Linked DNA regions of Tribolium castaneum. The protein of the gene in region 1 purifies or fractionates together with the protein of each later gene. This does not show direct contact. Links are inferred from orthologs where the notes say so. Each region holds a gene or a part of one and is shown on either strand. Other genes may lie near its edges. The genes, in order: Gnf1 and replication factor C subunit 4.

Region 1 (4,037 bases):
TACAAGATTTAACAAAGTCTCAATTTTGTACTGTTGATCTAGTTTCTTAATCAAACTCCCTAAAGCATCATTCCCTTGAAGAAACCCTTTAAGGTTGTGCACATTGCACCCCTGTAACCTATGATCAGTGATCCTGTCTTGCGGAAAATTATAAGTCCTAATTTTCTCGTTTCTAAAATTCGACCTAACTTGGTTCTTCCTCATATTCTCGTTCCTCGCTATCTGCTCTTCAAGATCACGTTGATAAATCAAAGCCCTCAACTTAGCCAAAGCAATTTGACGATTTTTCACTTGAGACCTGTCCACTTGACACTCCACACTAAACCCCGTGGGCAAATGTGTCACCCGGACGGCACTTTCGGTCGTATTCACGTGCTGCCCCCCAGCCCCACTCGCCCGTTTCGTCTCAATTTTCAAATCTTTGTTATCGATGTTAACTTCAATCTCTGTGGGTTGTGGAAGGGCAACAACCGAGACAGTGCTGGTGTGAATACGACCCGCCTTTTCCGTAGTCGGGATTCTCTGGACCCGGTGAACCCCCGCTTCATGCTTGAAAAATTGAAACACTTGAGGTCCGTTAATTAGGGCACTTGCGTGCCTGATTCCGCCAATGTCAACTGGGGAGTAATCAGCGATTTGCGTTTCCCAGCCTGGAAAATACAAAGGTTTGTGTTTGAAAAAACTGGTGAATTTCTTACCTTGATGCTCGGCAAAATTACAATACATTTCGAATAATTCGTTAGCAAATAACATTGCCTCTTGGCCCCCAACTCCAGCATTAACTTCCAATACGATGGAGTTGCACTCATCTTCCTTATCTGACGGTAAAATTGCTTCAAGTAGTTTTTCATCAATAGACTTGATCCTGCTTTCAAACGTCAGTTTTTCCTCTTCTGCCAGTTTCCTAATATCATCGTCTTTTTCGTTCAATAATTCGGACAAATTTTGTATGTTTTCGACAGCATCTTTTCTTTCATTTAGTGCGTTAATTAGAGGCTGCAATTGATGAAAGCGACTATTGGCAGTGTAATTGTTCAATTTTAAAAGCCCCTCATATTCATGTTCCAATCGTTTAATGTAATTTCGGAGAGACACCCCTTTGATGGCCAAATCTAGATCATACTTAGACGTTGTATAAAAAACGTAATTTTTTCGGACTAGTAATACCCTTCGTAATAGTGTTTTCGAAAATAAATACATGTTTTTATAATTTGAGGTTAAAGAGGTTATTTTTTTCTAACCTGAAAAACTAACTGTCAATTGAAATTTGTTGTGGCGGGAGATTTCCCGGATTGTGTTTGTGAATTAAACAACAACCTGCAAACAGATAATAATTTGATAAAAACAACAGATAATTTTGGGTGTAACGTAATCGTACCATGTCGAAAGTAAGCCAAAACTTGTATTTTTCCCAAACGAGCAATTAACCTTAATTTTAGGACATCCGTTCCTTTTTCACTGTAATTTCAAAGAAGTCTGATGCAAATTCGCCCAAAGCTGCTTCTCCTGCCGTTAAAAAGAAGCCAAAACGTATCATAGACTCCGATGATGAGGACGTGATTTCTGCCACTCCAGACAAAGAGCAGAAGAAGGTTGAGAAGAAACGTGAAGTTCTAAGTTCAGACTCTGATGAAGACGCGAAGAAAAAAAGGAAGACTGAAGAACCGAAATTAAAACCGGTGAATGTGGCCGACGTGTTTAAGAACAGTCCTATAAAACAGAGCAAGGTTGAAGTGCCACAAACACCCGAAGTCAAGCCTACAAAAGCAGAAGAGAAAAAACCCAAAAATAGGAAGAAAAAGCACGATGCGGAGAAGGAGATTCACAACAATAGTGCTTTCAACAAGACGCTGGAAGACTTAGATGATGATATTTTCGAACAGAGTATTCATCTTATTGAGTCAATTGAGGAAGCGTACCAGGGTGATAAAGAAAAGAAAGAAAGTAAAAATGAATCAGATAGTCAAGTTCAAAGCGCAAAGAAACGATCAAGAAACGATTCGTCAAGTGATAGTAAGTAGTTTTAAGTTTGTTTGAAATTCAAGATAACGTATTTTCAGATCAAACACCTAAGAAGAAGAAAATTGAGCATTCGGACTCTGGTATTGATCCGGGACAAGAAGCTCATGAAAAAAAGAGATACTCAGCCATGCTCTACCAAAGGTACCTCAACAGAGGGGAACCCAAACATCTTGGAATGAAGGAATTGCCAAAAGTGTGTCGTTCAAAATGTTAAAAAACTTACAATTGTCTTTCTTATTTCCAGGGGAAGCCGAATTGTTTGCAAAATTTGTGTTTCCTAAGAACTGGCGTTTTAGACTCGCTTGATTCGGAGGAGTTTGCAAATATAATAAAACAACACGGTGGACGTGTAGTGCACGCAGTTTCAAGTACGATTTTTTTGTTATTAATGAAAAAAATAAAGTGCAAGTTATTTTTTTTAGAAAAAGTAAATTATGTGGTTGTGGGTGCAGAACCAGGGCCGGCAAAACTTGCAAAAGCTGAAAGTTATAACATACCTAACATATCTGAAGATGAGCTTTTGGACATGATACTTACAAAGTCAGGGATGGAACCGAAATATTGCAAAAAGAATACGTCGTGTGATAGCGAGGATTTAGGCATTGATTTAAACCATGAAACAAAACCTAGCAAAGAAAAAATAAGTAACAAAACTGAGCCTAAAAAAGAAACGCCTGAAAAAAAATCGAGTGTCAAAAAACAAAACGGTACCGCTCCATCCAAAATAGAGCAGGAAATTAAAAGTGAAACTCTGTCATCTAACAGTTTTTATAGCCAACCTGGCACTAGTAAAGTTTCGGAAAGTACAAAAATCGAAAATAAAGTAGAGGCAGTTCAGTTATCCTTGCCTGAAAAATACAAGCCACAGACACTTCGAGCAGTAATAGGACAACAAGGTGATTCAAGTAATTTGGCCAAACTCAAACACTGGCTTGAAAATTGGTACAAAAATCAAGACCCGAAAGTTAAAAAAACATTAGCACGTCCTAGTCCTTGGTCTACTAAGAAAGATGATGGTGCTTATTTCAAGTGTGCGTTGTTGAGTGGTCCACCAGGTGTTGGTAAAACCACAACTGCAACACTTGTGGCAAAGGAATTGGGTTTGGATATAGTCGAGTTTAATGCTTCTGATACGAGGAGCAAGAAGTTGCTACATGAAGAAGTGGCGCAGTTGTTGAGCACTAAAACAATAGCTGGATATGCAACAGGTCAGTATTAAAATTAAGAAAAATGTTTTTTTTTTCATTACTTCCGCAATAATATTTGTAAAAATACATAAAAGAAATAAATGTATCGTATTAAAAAAAAGAAGAAGAAAAGAATAAAAAACAATATAAAATAAAACAATAGATGCGGTCACGAAATCTAGCTTACAGCCATTCCTCTAGTTTTTGTTTTCATATTTTTCACTGAAAAATTCACGAAAATCTGATAGCATTGCATCTGACAATCTCCTGTCTATTAGTCAACTTTTCCTTGTATCGTCTCTCATCTACGTGCAATATTAATATGTATATCTTGATGACATTTCTCTTCATGTTTATCAATACTGCACTAAGATTTTCGGTAAAGAATGAAGAAAAGTAAGTGAGAGTTAAAAAAAATCTCAAATAATTTCCTGCAGTTCTCTCCTTTTTTTCCTCCCATCAACTTAAATCGTTTTTATAGGATTAGATACGATTTAAATGAGTTAAAGTAGCGTAAATGCAATAACGAAACACCAGATATATTTAGAATTTTGGGAAATTAAAAAAACCAGTAAAAAAAATCTACTAAATTTATGACGTTTATGATGATATCCAGAATTTAAAATATCCATGAAATCGTTATACATAACTGGGATTTCAAAATCGGTACAAATTAAATGCACAGTATTTTATTTAAACGACAATGCACAGAAAAAATAATAATTGCAGCCTGCAAGCTAGTTATTGAACGTTTATTAACTGCGTAAACGGAAACTAGATACTGTGCATATACCATGATTTTAATTAAATACTGTGTGTAGTTTACTT
Region 2 (11,547 bases), on another chromosome or scaffold:
TTCCCATGAAGTCAAATTTAATTTAGGGTCGAATTTCCGAGAGAAATATTGTAAGAGATTTTAGAACATGTTGGAATATTTACAAGTAAAAACTAAGATACTATGGTTTAATACAGATTCAAATTACATATCATTGTTTGAAGATGAGAAGGACCGTTCCCGAAACTTTACCTCATGAATAAATCGCAAATCTGTGTCTTACATTTTTAGTAATTCATAAATTTCACGAAAACTTTTACTGAAAAACATTATAAGTATAACGAGTGGATGAGCGTGATTTGTCCGGATTCACATATGTTCTTGAGTTTCCAAAAAAAATACAGCTTTTTTGGACAAAAAGCGTAAAACAAATTGATTTGTATTTTTTGTGGAATTGTAAAATTATTATCCTCAACAGTCGTTTTTTTAAATAATTATTTAACAGTGTAAATTATACCTAAAGTTGCAGAACGTTGTCAAAGGAGGCTACGAGGGCTCTGTTGACATAAATGATTTCATAACTTTGTAGCTCAATTTCGGCTTTAGTCCAATTTCAAGCCCATTCAGTTTAAATTTTTTGTTGTAACTTGTAAGTTTTTTGTAAAGTGTACTGTTTTCGCGTAAAATGATAAAATGTACTAAGATGCAGTCGATATCAGTCCAGATAGTTTTATTTTAACGTTTCTAGCAAAAAAAATATTTGTCAATTTATTTTTTAAAATAAAAAGAATTTAATTTAATTATTTTGAAATGATTCCTGGCCTTGTTAGTTGGTTCCACTTTAAAACAAATGAAGGGAGTTGGATCACCATACCTTCTAACATTACCGCTGAAATATTTGCACTTGTTTGCGAGAGCCTGTATAATAGTTGGTAATCGGTTTGAATCACAATAAAGAAATAGTTTTAGTTACCGGGATTTATTTAATTCCTTACTAAATTGAAGTTATTTATAAAATAACGTTGTAAACTTTAAAATGGGTTGTTTTCATCAATGTATACCTTTTTGTATCAAATTTTTTCGAATCTCATTTATAACTTTGTGATAATTTTTGGTGGCTTGTTAGTTTTTAAACATTTATTGTATACTTGATAACGATAAATTATCGTTCGCGGTGATCGAAAATCCGTAACTGATTCTGAACCGTACATTAGCTTTAAATAAATCTTGGACTAGTTCAGGATATAGTCTTAAATATCCTCCGAACAAAGCTATTATCTTTAGTCCTAATTTGTTACGAGAAAACTAAAATCTACCCAACGAGAGTCTTCTAAAAAACTTTAGTCATTGTTGCCAAATGAAGATTTCAATTGCCAACTTAATTGTTATATCTTACAATAATGTTGTTTCCATTTTAGTGTATCCCAGATTATCGAATGCGACCCATAATTCGTGTTTTCTTAAAACCCTTTATCTATTCTTGTCCTACGCCATTCTACGAAGCTGTACTTTTGCCCATCGTTGCACACATAGCACCTCTAAGTACGATCAAATAGTGTTATGTAGCAAATCAGAATTATACAACCAACGTTTTAGTGTTATCACGTTTACACGCAAAATGGTTACAAGTGAACGAATTTCGCAATCGCGAAGGACAAGAAGATAACGCTGACACTCAAGAAGTTCTTGAAGATATTTTAACACGAGCTCTAACTCGTGAATATTTGGACGTACTAAAGGTGGCTTTAGTAGGCGGTGGACTCACACCTGAAACAAATACTGAAAATATGGAAACTGAAGATCTGAGTATGGATTCCCCAACACCGCCTCCTCCAACACGATCGAATATGACCACGGAGGTTATATCTGATTTAGGTTTGTGACAATATAAATAATCAAATTTTGGCTAATTTCATGTTCAAGGTTTGGTACTCTTGCGTAGCGAGAAAACTTGTCAGTCGATTGTGTTGGCAGTACTGGGTGCGTTGTCATGGATTGACAGTAACGCATCGTTAAAAGCAACTTTTTTGACTGGACCTATAGTTAGACAATTGGTTTCTGATAGTTCTTTAAACGGAGAGATGGCAGCACATATAATGGCGTCCGTTTTGAACGCTTTGATGTTACATGGGCAACATGAAGCCAATCAAGGGTCTTTATTGACCTTAGGTGCACAAATGTATGAAATGTTACGGCCTACTTTTCTCGAAGTACTCGGTGTGATGCAACAAATTCCCGGAGTGAACCCAGTTGATTTGCAAAAGTTGGATGAAAGAATTTCAGGCAGTACAAGTAAAGGAAATAAGGTCGAGAAGGTGAAGAAGGATTTGTTTCGGAAAATAACGGGAAATGTAAGTTTTTCGTCTATTCTTTGCTCAAGGGCTCTCTGGTGTACGATATAGAATCACAACTTTTTTCCCAAATTAAAGCAACCTTGCAGAAATTTAATTTTCTTAGAAGAACATACTTTTTTGATCAGAAGAAATTCGGCACTGTGATTTTTTTTGAGTTTCAATAATTTTTTATAAAGTTACTTGGGGCTCAATTACTTGATAATCCACTGTTCAAAGATGGTTCTTTATCAAAAAGTCGACTATGGTCTTAAATTCAGTGTGCCGTTTCGTTCAGATAACTACCGTAGTTTTTAAGAAAAGTCATCGCGGTGTCATCGCTATCAAATTTTTGCTTATTTGTTTTATCATTTTTATGCATTTTTCGGCAATATTGTTTCAACTTTCAATTGTAGGGTGTGTCTTGATTTGTGTTTTAAATTCTGGTGCTTACTTAAGTAGTTAGTCTGAGCTGTCGTTTTTCTGTTTGAAGCGTTTTTGCTTCTTTTGAGGGATTTATCACTTTTGCCAGAATTCACTATTTTGTCACGTTTAAAATTTATAGGTGTCTTTTATAATAATAAATTTGTTCTGCTGTTCTGATAAATCTTGTTCTGGGTCATGTAAATAAAAATACTGAAAACTAACAAAAAATTACACAGTCGAATTCTTAGTCAAAATATCTTTTATTTGAGGTATCACAAAGGGCATGTTGCCATTTAAAATTTTGTAAGGGTTGTTTGTGTTACAAGGGGGGTTGGCGCTACAACTTTTATACATTAGGTGTCCCCCTTTTAATAAAAATTGACTTGTTTTGGAATCTTTTAATTTTTTGCTTATTTTCGTAGATACTTAGGGTGGCTCAATAGAAAAACAAAAACAAAAATGGTGTTTTTGAACTATGTTCACTTTTTGTTTTTGAGATTTTTTTAAAAGTGACCGAAAATGCTAAGGTTATTCGGAACGCATTTTTATTTTTATTTTTTTATTAGTCAAATAGTCAAATTAGTCAAATGCGAAATTTGATCGAAATTAATATATATTTTTTGTTTGTTTCATCCAGTTTAAGTTAAAAATCAATGAATTATTTAAAAATAGTGGTTTTGCTTTGAAAAATTACTAAAGACTTTTGGAAATATATTTTTTTCTTGTGTTTTAATATGTTTGTCAGTTGGGAATACAATTGTTTTGTAAAAATTTATTGAATACGGTTCGCAAAAAAATCATATTTAGCCAAAAATTGTTGATTTTTGTTTTACAATATCGCCAAACAAACAAAAAACTTGAAAATGGTGCCCTTAATTAAATCATTAGTTTTGGTTGAGATTTTTTGCTACAACCATCGAATAATGATCAAAGTAAGATAAGAGTTACATTATTTTTGCTCTTTTGGGATATATGCCGAACTTCTTTTTATTTGTTTTTTTAAAAACAAGTTTTTGTAGCAAAAATTTTTTTTTGAAATATATTACTAAATTTTTTATACTATTTGTTACTTTAATTTTTTACTAAATTGTGTCAATATTAATTAGTTTATGTGATTTTATTTAAAACGTATTTCTTTAAATGCTACAAGTGAATGTCGTGATATCGGAATTGACTACCAGAGAGCGCAAACAGTTCTAACTTGGGTTATAGAATTTGAGTTATATCGTAACTTGATTTTTTTTCAGTTGATTGGACGAAGTATGGGCCAGCTTTTTAAAAAAGAGGTCAAAATTCATGACCTACCCAGCTTAGCATTTTCGAAGAAACCTCAACCGAAAGAAGTGACACCTGACTTGCAAAATGTGTTTAGTTAATATTGCCTGAAATATTATCTAATTGTTATTTATTTAATTTATTGTACAACATTCCTTGTTGTTCAATTGGTCAAGACCAACTTTATCATGATCAATCAATGCATTCTTTTGTAATATATTGTTGTAATTTAATATTATTTACAATCTTATCTCTTGGTCTCTAATAAATAGTAATTTTTCAAACGATTTTTTCAATTTTTTTTGACATTGAAACAAACAAACCTCAAGCAGTGAAGCGGTTACCAGAAAACATTCCATAAAATCTAATTTAATTTAATTTATAAATTTACAATCTTTGTCGCTTATAGTTAGATAATCACTAATTTTTGGAATGGTTTTTACTACTGTTTTACTAAAATTTCTGTGCGCCATCTGTGAAGCGGTAGCATCAACATTCGTCGTTTGACAACTTAACCTCAAATAAAACGCGCCAAATATTTACGCAAAAATGCAGGCCTTTCTCAAGTCGGGAAAGTTAGATAATAGTGATAAATCAGTGCCTTCAAGCTCGAAAACATCAAAAAAGTCGAAAGCCGTCCCGTGGGTTGAAAAATAGTACGTAAAATTATTAGTATATTTGTTTGTTTGAAATAGGTTGTTTGCAGCCGTCCTAGGACAGTCTCGGACGTTGTGGAACAGAGCGAGGCTGTTTCAGTGTTACAGCAATGTATTTCAGGGGCGGATCTCCCAAACTTGTTGTTTTATGGTCCTCCTGGGACAGGCAAAACCAGCACAATTCTGGCAGCTGCAAGACAGCTTTTTGGTGACTATTACAGAGACAGAATTCTTGAACTGAATGCGTCCGATGAACGAGGAATTCAAGTTATTCGAGACAAGGTCAAGACTTTTGCACAACTAACTGCTAGCGGTACAAGGCCTGAGTAAGCTTTGCGAATTATTTTTTGTTAAAAACCTGGTCAACAGTGATGTGTACAGGGTGCTGCATTATGGATGTCCAAACAGGGGATCTCCGAAACTAAGAGATTTAGAGAAAAACGAGTGACGCATTTCCGGGTCCATTTTTTTTTAAATAATTTTGGTCAAAACCGCATCCTGTTATCGTCTTTTGTTTTCGACTTATAAACAAAAGTTCACATTTTAGTGAAATCTTAAAAAGTTCACATCTTTCTTATTATAAAAGATACACATTTGAAACAAAGACATTATGCAGGCACTTTTTACAGAGAATTTAATAATGCTATCAGCGATTTTTTAACCATTCGTTTAGCTGGAATAACATAAAGTTTTGTTTTTTTTAATAGGAATCATAGGCGGCTGGGATATTTTTCAAAAGCTTATTTTTTCTGATTAGATACGTCTAAATGTGTAATACATTATTTTTAAATATTTAAGAAAAACAAAACATTTTGCTTTTTCTCTATAGTAGGCCATGGAAAAATTTTGGATTTTCAATTAAAACTATGAGAACTGTATTACTCAACAAGTATTTATAATGTAATGATTTTTTAAATTCTAATTAATTTAAAAACAGCGTAATAAATAATTATTAGATCAAATATTTGTGATTAATAAAAATTATTTGTTTTTAGATTTAAAATGGCAAGCTTACATTGTCATTCTATTTTCTAATTAAACATGAAATATCGGAATAAAGAAAAATGTTATTAATTGTATGATTGCTTGTCAATAAAATTTTATTTTACAGAAAAATGTCAATCCAAACACCAAAATTAAATCCCATCTGCGGTAAAAAAAATACATAACATTAACAACGTCCCCCGACCAACATTGCACTTCACTAAATTATAAAAAAAGTGTCATCAAATGGTAGTGACACAAGGTTTTCACTTTTCTGCACTTTTTTATGTAATTAAAATCTGCGATAATCGTATATTTGTTCGATTGAAAATAACTTTAACATAGCTTATTTTGATAATTTACCTTTTATGTGAAATAGTTTTACCATGGCCAACTACTTTCAAATATTTTAAATATATTTTTTATCAAAAATATACCAGATATCAAACTATATTTATATTGTTTTCAGTTCAGAAAAAAATAAGCTTTTCGAAAATGTCATAGCAAACTATGATTCTCCTTTAAAAAAATACAACTTTATGTTATTAGTTATTACAGCTAAACGAATGATTAAAAAAAACGCTGATAACATTATTAAATTCTCTGTAAAAAAGTGCCGGCATAATGTCTTTGTTTATCTTTTATAAAAAGAAAGATATGAATTTTTTTAGATTCCGCTAAAATGTCAACTTTTGTTTATAAGTCGAAAACAAAAGACGATAGCGGGATGCGGTTTTGATGAAAATTATTTTCTCAAAAAACGGACCCGAGCTCGTTTTTCTCTAAACCTCTTAGTTTCGGAGATCGCCTATTCCGACATCCAAAATGCAGCAACCTGCACAATTCTTGGTTTTAATTCTTTTTGATGAAGAAGTATTAGCTCTTTCAAAACTATAAAAATGCTAACGTCACATTTTCTCTTAAAATTAGCTGTTATGATTGTAATGAATTATTCATGCACTTCAAAAAAATAATTGGTAATGTAATTTATAGTTTCAATGAGAGATCTAATGATTTATAACTATTTTACATTTTATCAATCTTATTTAATAAAATAATTCGTTAAAATGCGACGTTGTCATTTATAGTTTTGAAACAGCTGATATGTACCCCATTTCAGTTCATAGTTAAATTGCAACAGCGCATTTGAATTTTTCGGAGCGAGAAATAAAGCACAAACTGAGAGTTTCCGTAAAAGTAAATCCCACCAGAAACCTTCAATTTGTGCTCCATTTCACTCCAAAAAATTCAAATGCGCTGTTGCAACATTCTACTATGAACTGACATGGGATATAAAACAGAAATTTCGAATTAATTATAAAATCGTTTGAATTCAATAAAGAACAAACTTACCTGACAATGTTAATTTTGTCATTTTTAGTTGCGCAAATTTTAGTTGTTTCTTTTGGCTTGTTATATTTTTTTGCAATACCTTTTTGACCACACTTTTATTTGGAATAATGAATACTTATACAATGTTTTTTTAAGTGGTAAACCGTGCCCTCCGTTCAAAATCGTCATTTTGGATGAAGCGGACTCGATGACACACGCAGCTCAGGCTGCCTTACGTCGAACGATGGAAAAAGAGTCTCGATCAACCAGATTTTGTCTAATTTGTAACTACGTGTCACGGATTATCGAACCGTTGACATCACGATGTACGAAATTTCGATTTAAACCACTGAACGAAGCTATGATCCTTGAACGGTTGAGTTTCATATGTGGGAAAGAAAATGTCGAATGTAGCGATGAAACTTTAGCTACCTTGGTTGAGACAAGTGGGGGCGATATGAGGAGAGCCATTACTTCATTACAGAGTTGTGCGAAATTGAAAGGAAGTGGGGTTCCTATAAGTATTGATGACGTGTTGGAAGTGACCGGTGTATGTTCTCATTTTTTTTAATATTGTTTTTGGTTTAATAGAAATTGTAATAGGTTGTGCCAGAACGTTGGTTAAAGAAGTTTTTAGATGTTTGTAAAACCAAAGATCAAAACAAACTTCAAGCGTTTTTGAAAGAAATGATGTTTGAAGCATATGCCGCCTCACAGGTTAATCAGTGTTGCAACTTAATTTCACTCACTTTGATCAGAAATTTGTTTTAGATTTTGGAACAGCTCAATCAGTACATTGTTAATTTTGAGGGGTTCACTGACCAACAAAAGGCGATTATTGGTCAGAAACTGGGGGTAATTATCTATTCCGTGTTTTGCGTGAGATGTATTAAATTTTGTAGGTTGTGAGTTTTAAACTGCAAGATGGTGGTTCGGAATTTATTCAACTGTTGGATTTGGGGTGTTCTATAATTCGAGCATTTTGTAATGTGTAAGTCTCATTAAATTAAATTTTCCCAAAATACAAACGTTTTATTTCGAGTTGAAATTAAAAATTAGTTTGTTTTCAAAAATATAAGGTGGAACGCAAATTGCTAATTCTAAGCGATAATTTTTTGGGCACCGTCGCCTACTTATTAAAACGCTGCGAATATGGTTGAAGATACAAAAAAATGTAAGGAACGATGTTGTAGAGAATTAAATTTGCTACAAAAAAGTCGCTTGAGCATCTTTGAACGTCTTTTAAAGTCTAAACCGTTGTAGGTAAAGATATGGGCTCGCTGACTGTTTTAAAGAAATTTAATTCTCTACAACTTTTTTTTGGACATTTTTCTTGTATCTTTAACCGCATTTTGAAGCATATTGAAAAATACGGGAAAAAGCGCAAATTTTAAATTTCAAATAATTTTTTTCTCATGTTTCTCATGAAAATTTTTGTCCTCCGTTTTTCTCAGTCTGTTGAGAATGCAAAGCTTAATATTAAAATATTAATATTAAATAAAATATTTCGGCATATTTTTTTCAAGTAATTAGTGAATTGGTTGAATTTAAAACGATTTCACACCGAGTGACATCGAGACGGTATTACGCTCGAAGCGTTGTTTCTGCTAGTGCATTAATTTAAAACTCAATTTTCAAGCAAAATAATAAACTAAATCGTTTTTTTACATTTGGATGTAGTTCCTAGGTTAACGTATTATGTACCTCATAGACCATTTCTTATCTCGATTTAAATATTTGTACCCAAGTTATAACGGGGTAAACAGCGTAATAATCTTAATATTTTTATGGAAAAACTTAAGTTCAAATAGCATGAAAAAAATAGTGTTATATACACGACCCATACAAAAAATTATCAAAAAACATGTTACTATTTTTAAATAAAAAAATAAAACGACTAAAAATTGAACATTTTTTAAAATTTATGTATTAATGTTGCTAAGTTACCGTATTTTTTTCATGCCATTTTTTTAATAGAACAATAAATTAAATCGACTTTTAATCCGTTTAAACTCGGTTATAAATACTTAAAATAAGATACCAACTGACCTGTGAGGTAGTGACTGAATTTAGGAACAAGGTGCAGTTGTAAAGAAAGCAATTTGTTTATTACTTTTCGCGCGCTTACTTGAATAACTCCTCTTCAAACGTTCTGAGTATAGTTTTGATTCTGAACAACGTTGTCTTCAAACATCAAGGAGGCTATGGTCTTTCGTAAACTGTGGTATAAATTAGACAACCAAAAATACATACAATGGCTTCATGATCAGGTGCTGCCCTCTGTGTAGTCCGTTGATTCTTAATATTTTTCTTCAGCGCTCAGCAGGTTTAGTGGCATATATAATCAGCGGTTTTGTGTTTTGTGCTCAGCATAAAATACTAGAAGTGTCTTGAAAGACGAATTTGCAAATATGTAGTGTTGCTGAAACGTGATTTTCTTTTACGTAAACGTTTTGTTGTTAAAATACTGTGTGACCGGTTGGACCTGGAGATTTCAAGACTTCCTTTAGGTTTGATAGTTTGCACGTGGGTTCGACCGGCTATACCTTCCCCAGTTTAGGTAAGTACTTGAAGTTTCTGATTAATTTGATGCGTTTTTCATGTAAAAACTGTAAAAAAGTTGGTTATTTGACAAATATTCGAGCAGTTAAAGGGAAACGAACGTGTTACGGATTGAGGTTTTTAGTTATTAGGGGTTGTACTGGTTGTAGATATAGACTAAATTAAAATGCAAACCACATGTATCTCTATCAATAGTATTGTCAGGTAATTGTATTGACCACCATGTAACCGCATAAAAAAAGTATCTAAACTCAAAACAAACTCATGCGAATTTCTGGTCAAAAATACCTTTCATTTGGGGTACCAGAAAGGGGGTTGGTACAACAACTGTTAAAGGTACACTAAAAGATGACTCCCTGAAAATAAAAATTGATCTGTCTCAGGACCAGTGTGAGGAAATTTTATGGGCGAAGGTTAGTGCATAGGCGCGCGCTTGCAGTCAGATAAACCTTTAAATCGAAATGTTGTGGAACAGCTTGCATTGTTGATATAAGTTAGGAAAGAGTATTAAAAAATGTTTAGACAAAGAATTCTTTGTTTCAACCCTCGCGAAGGGGCTAAAAAGACGTTTTAGCTAAAAATTTGCAAACACCTAAAATTGGACACATTTTGCGTTTACATACTAATATCTTCCTTCTGGATAAAGCTAGAAACTCCGTTTTTTTTGCAAACAAATTTTCAATAAATGCAGATTTATACGTAGTTTAAGAAGGTTGAGTTTTGATAAAGGGAAACCAAAAAAATTACATTTTCTTGTAATCTTGCATAATTGTGTAGTGAAATTTTCGAGATGCGAGAAAGTTTTTTAATTTAAAAGATCGAGACGAAATAAAGCTAATACTTGAAATAAATTTTTGGTGCAAGAATCATTTCGTTATCTGTAAGACTCACCAAGTTATTGCAATTTAAAATTACTGCAAAATGCGCCTGAGGTGAAACCGAACCGTATTTCCCTCTGAAGCGTGTTCATCGCCTTTGATCATTTCGAGAGCTAAAAATCGTAATTCGTAAATAATTAAAAAATAATTAATGTCACTTATCTATTAATATTATTCCTTTACTTTTAACCGCCCTAACTCTCTGTTAATTTTAATAATATCTAAAAAGTCAAAAGAACATTTTTATCTCATGTACTTATTTAAAAAGCATAAAAGTGACCAAGTAGAACTAAATTGCGAAATTGTAATTCGTTTCAAAGTATTCTTTGGTGTGACATTAATATTTTTTTAATTATTTACCATTTTTAGTCCTTGAAATGTTTTCAACCACACGTTTCAAAGGGAAATACGCTGTGATTTCACCTCGAGCACATTTTGTAGATAACTAAATAATCCTTCTTTAAAGTCCTTTTTAAAAAAATATACAAATCGTAACGTTTCTGACGAATCAACCGGTAACATTAATTGTATAAACCCCTAGTAAACTACGCCAATGCACGCGCTATAACGGACCATTTCATCGATAAATATGAACATCGCGAGAGCGCTACGACGAGTCAGCTGATCGGTTGTGGCCTCATGGCCACCCCATAAAATTTCCTCACACTACTCAGGACACAGATTAAAAGGATCAGGATTTTCTATCACGTGATCGCAACCTCTTCCTTTCTGAAAAACCCAACTTAAACCGTACAACAAGTTTTCATCTTCTGAACAATAACTAATAAAAAATAGTTAGATTATAAAAAAGCGTAAAAATGCAAGGGTGGTATGACTTGTTCGAGTTAATTTAGAAGAATTGAAATTTTAGCACTTGCTTTTTCTGAGGCATCGTAACCTTTTTTTTACTTTAGCTACTTCTGGATTTTTGAAAAATTTTTTTTGCATTTCGCTTTCAAAAAGCCTCTAGATCAAATGCCCCGTTTTCGAAAAAATTCGACCTTGAATGACCTTGATCTAGACCTTTTTTAAATTGTGCCGATTGAAAATATGACCTTGAGAGAATTTTAATTGTGTTGCCATTTGGTCATACATAAAATGGGGTTGAATTATACACCTGATAGTTAAAAAATTTACACTAAAATTTCGTTAACACTCGCTAATAAATGATATTAACCCTAAATG

What was found.
Region 2: the proteins of Gnf1 (region 1) and replication factor C subunit 4 fractionate together in Homo sapiens (co-fractionation; 7 studies listed by BioGRID and IntAct, counting the BioPlex papers as one, with this or other methods). This does not show direct contact. The link is inferred for Tribolium castaneum from reciprocal best matches to the Homo sapiens genes RFC1 and RFC4.

What each region holds. Positions count from the first base shown.
Region 1 is NC_087398.1:12,867,725-12,871,761, reverse strand, and holds the start of Gnf1 (replication factor C subunit 1), read left to right. Parts: upstream 1-1,237; 5' UTR 1,238-1,379; coding exon 1,380-1,388; intron 1,389-1,439; coding exon 1,440-2,013; intron 2,014-2,060; coding exon 2,061-2,215; intron 2,216-2,266; coding exon 2,267-2,390; intron 2,391-2,444; coding exon 2,445-3,230; intron 3,231-4,037. Other genes in the region: mRF1 (peptide chain release factor 1-like, mitochondrial), read right to left, coding at 1-650, 699-726. UniProt on the Homo sapiens protein: Subunit of the replication factor C (RFC) complex which acts during elongation of primed DNA templates by DNA polymerases delta and epsilon, and is necessary for ATP-dependent loading of proliferating cell nuclear antigen (PCNA) onto primed DNA.
Region 2 is NC_087402.1:11,619,862-11,631,408, forward strand, and holds replication factor C subunit 4, read left to right. Parts: upstream 1-4,438; 5' UTR 4,439-4,499; coding exon 4,500-4,606; intron 4,607-4,656; coding exon 4,657-4,932; intron 4,933-7,078; coding exon 7,079-7,472; intron 7,473-7,525; coding exon 7,526-7,639; intron 7,640-7,680; exon of another isoform or gene 7,681-7,693; coding exon 7,694-7,777; intron 7,778-7,824; coding exon 7,825-7,917; 3' UTR 7,918-7,950; downstream 7,951-11,547. Other genes in the region: Ranbp21 (exportin-5), read left to right, coding at 1,338-1,461, 1,516-1,794, 1,843-2,270, 3,923-4,051. UniProt on the Homo sapiens protein: Subunit of the replication factor C (RFC) complex which acts during elongation of primed DNA templates by DNA polymerases delta and epsilon, and is necessary for ATP-dependent loading of proliferating cell nuclear antigen (PCNA) onto primed DNA.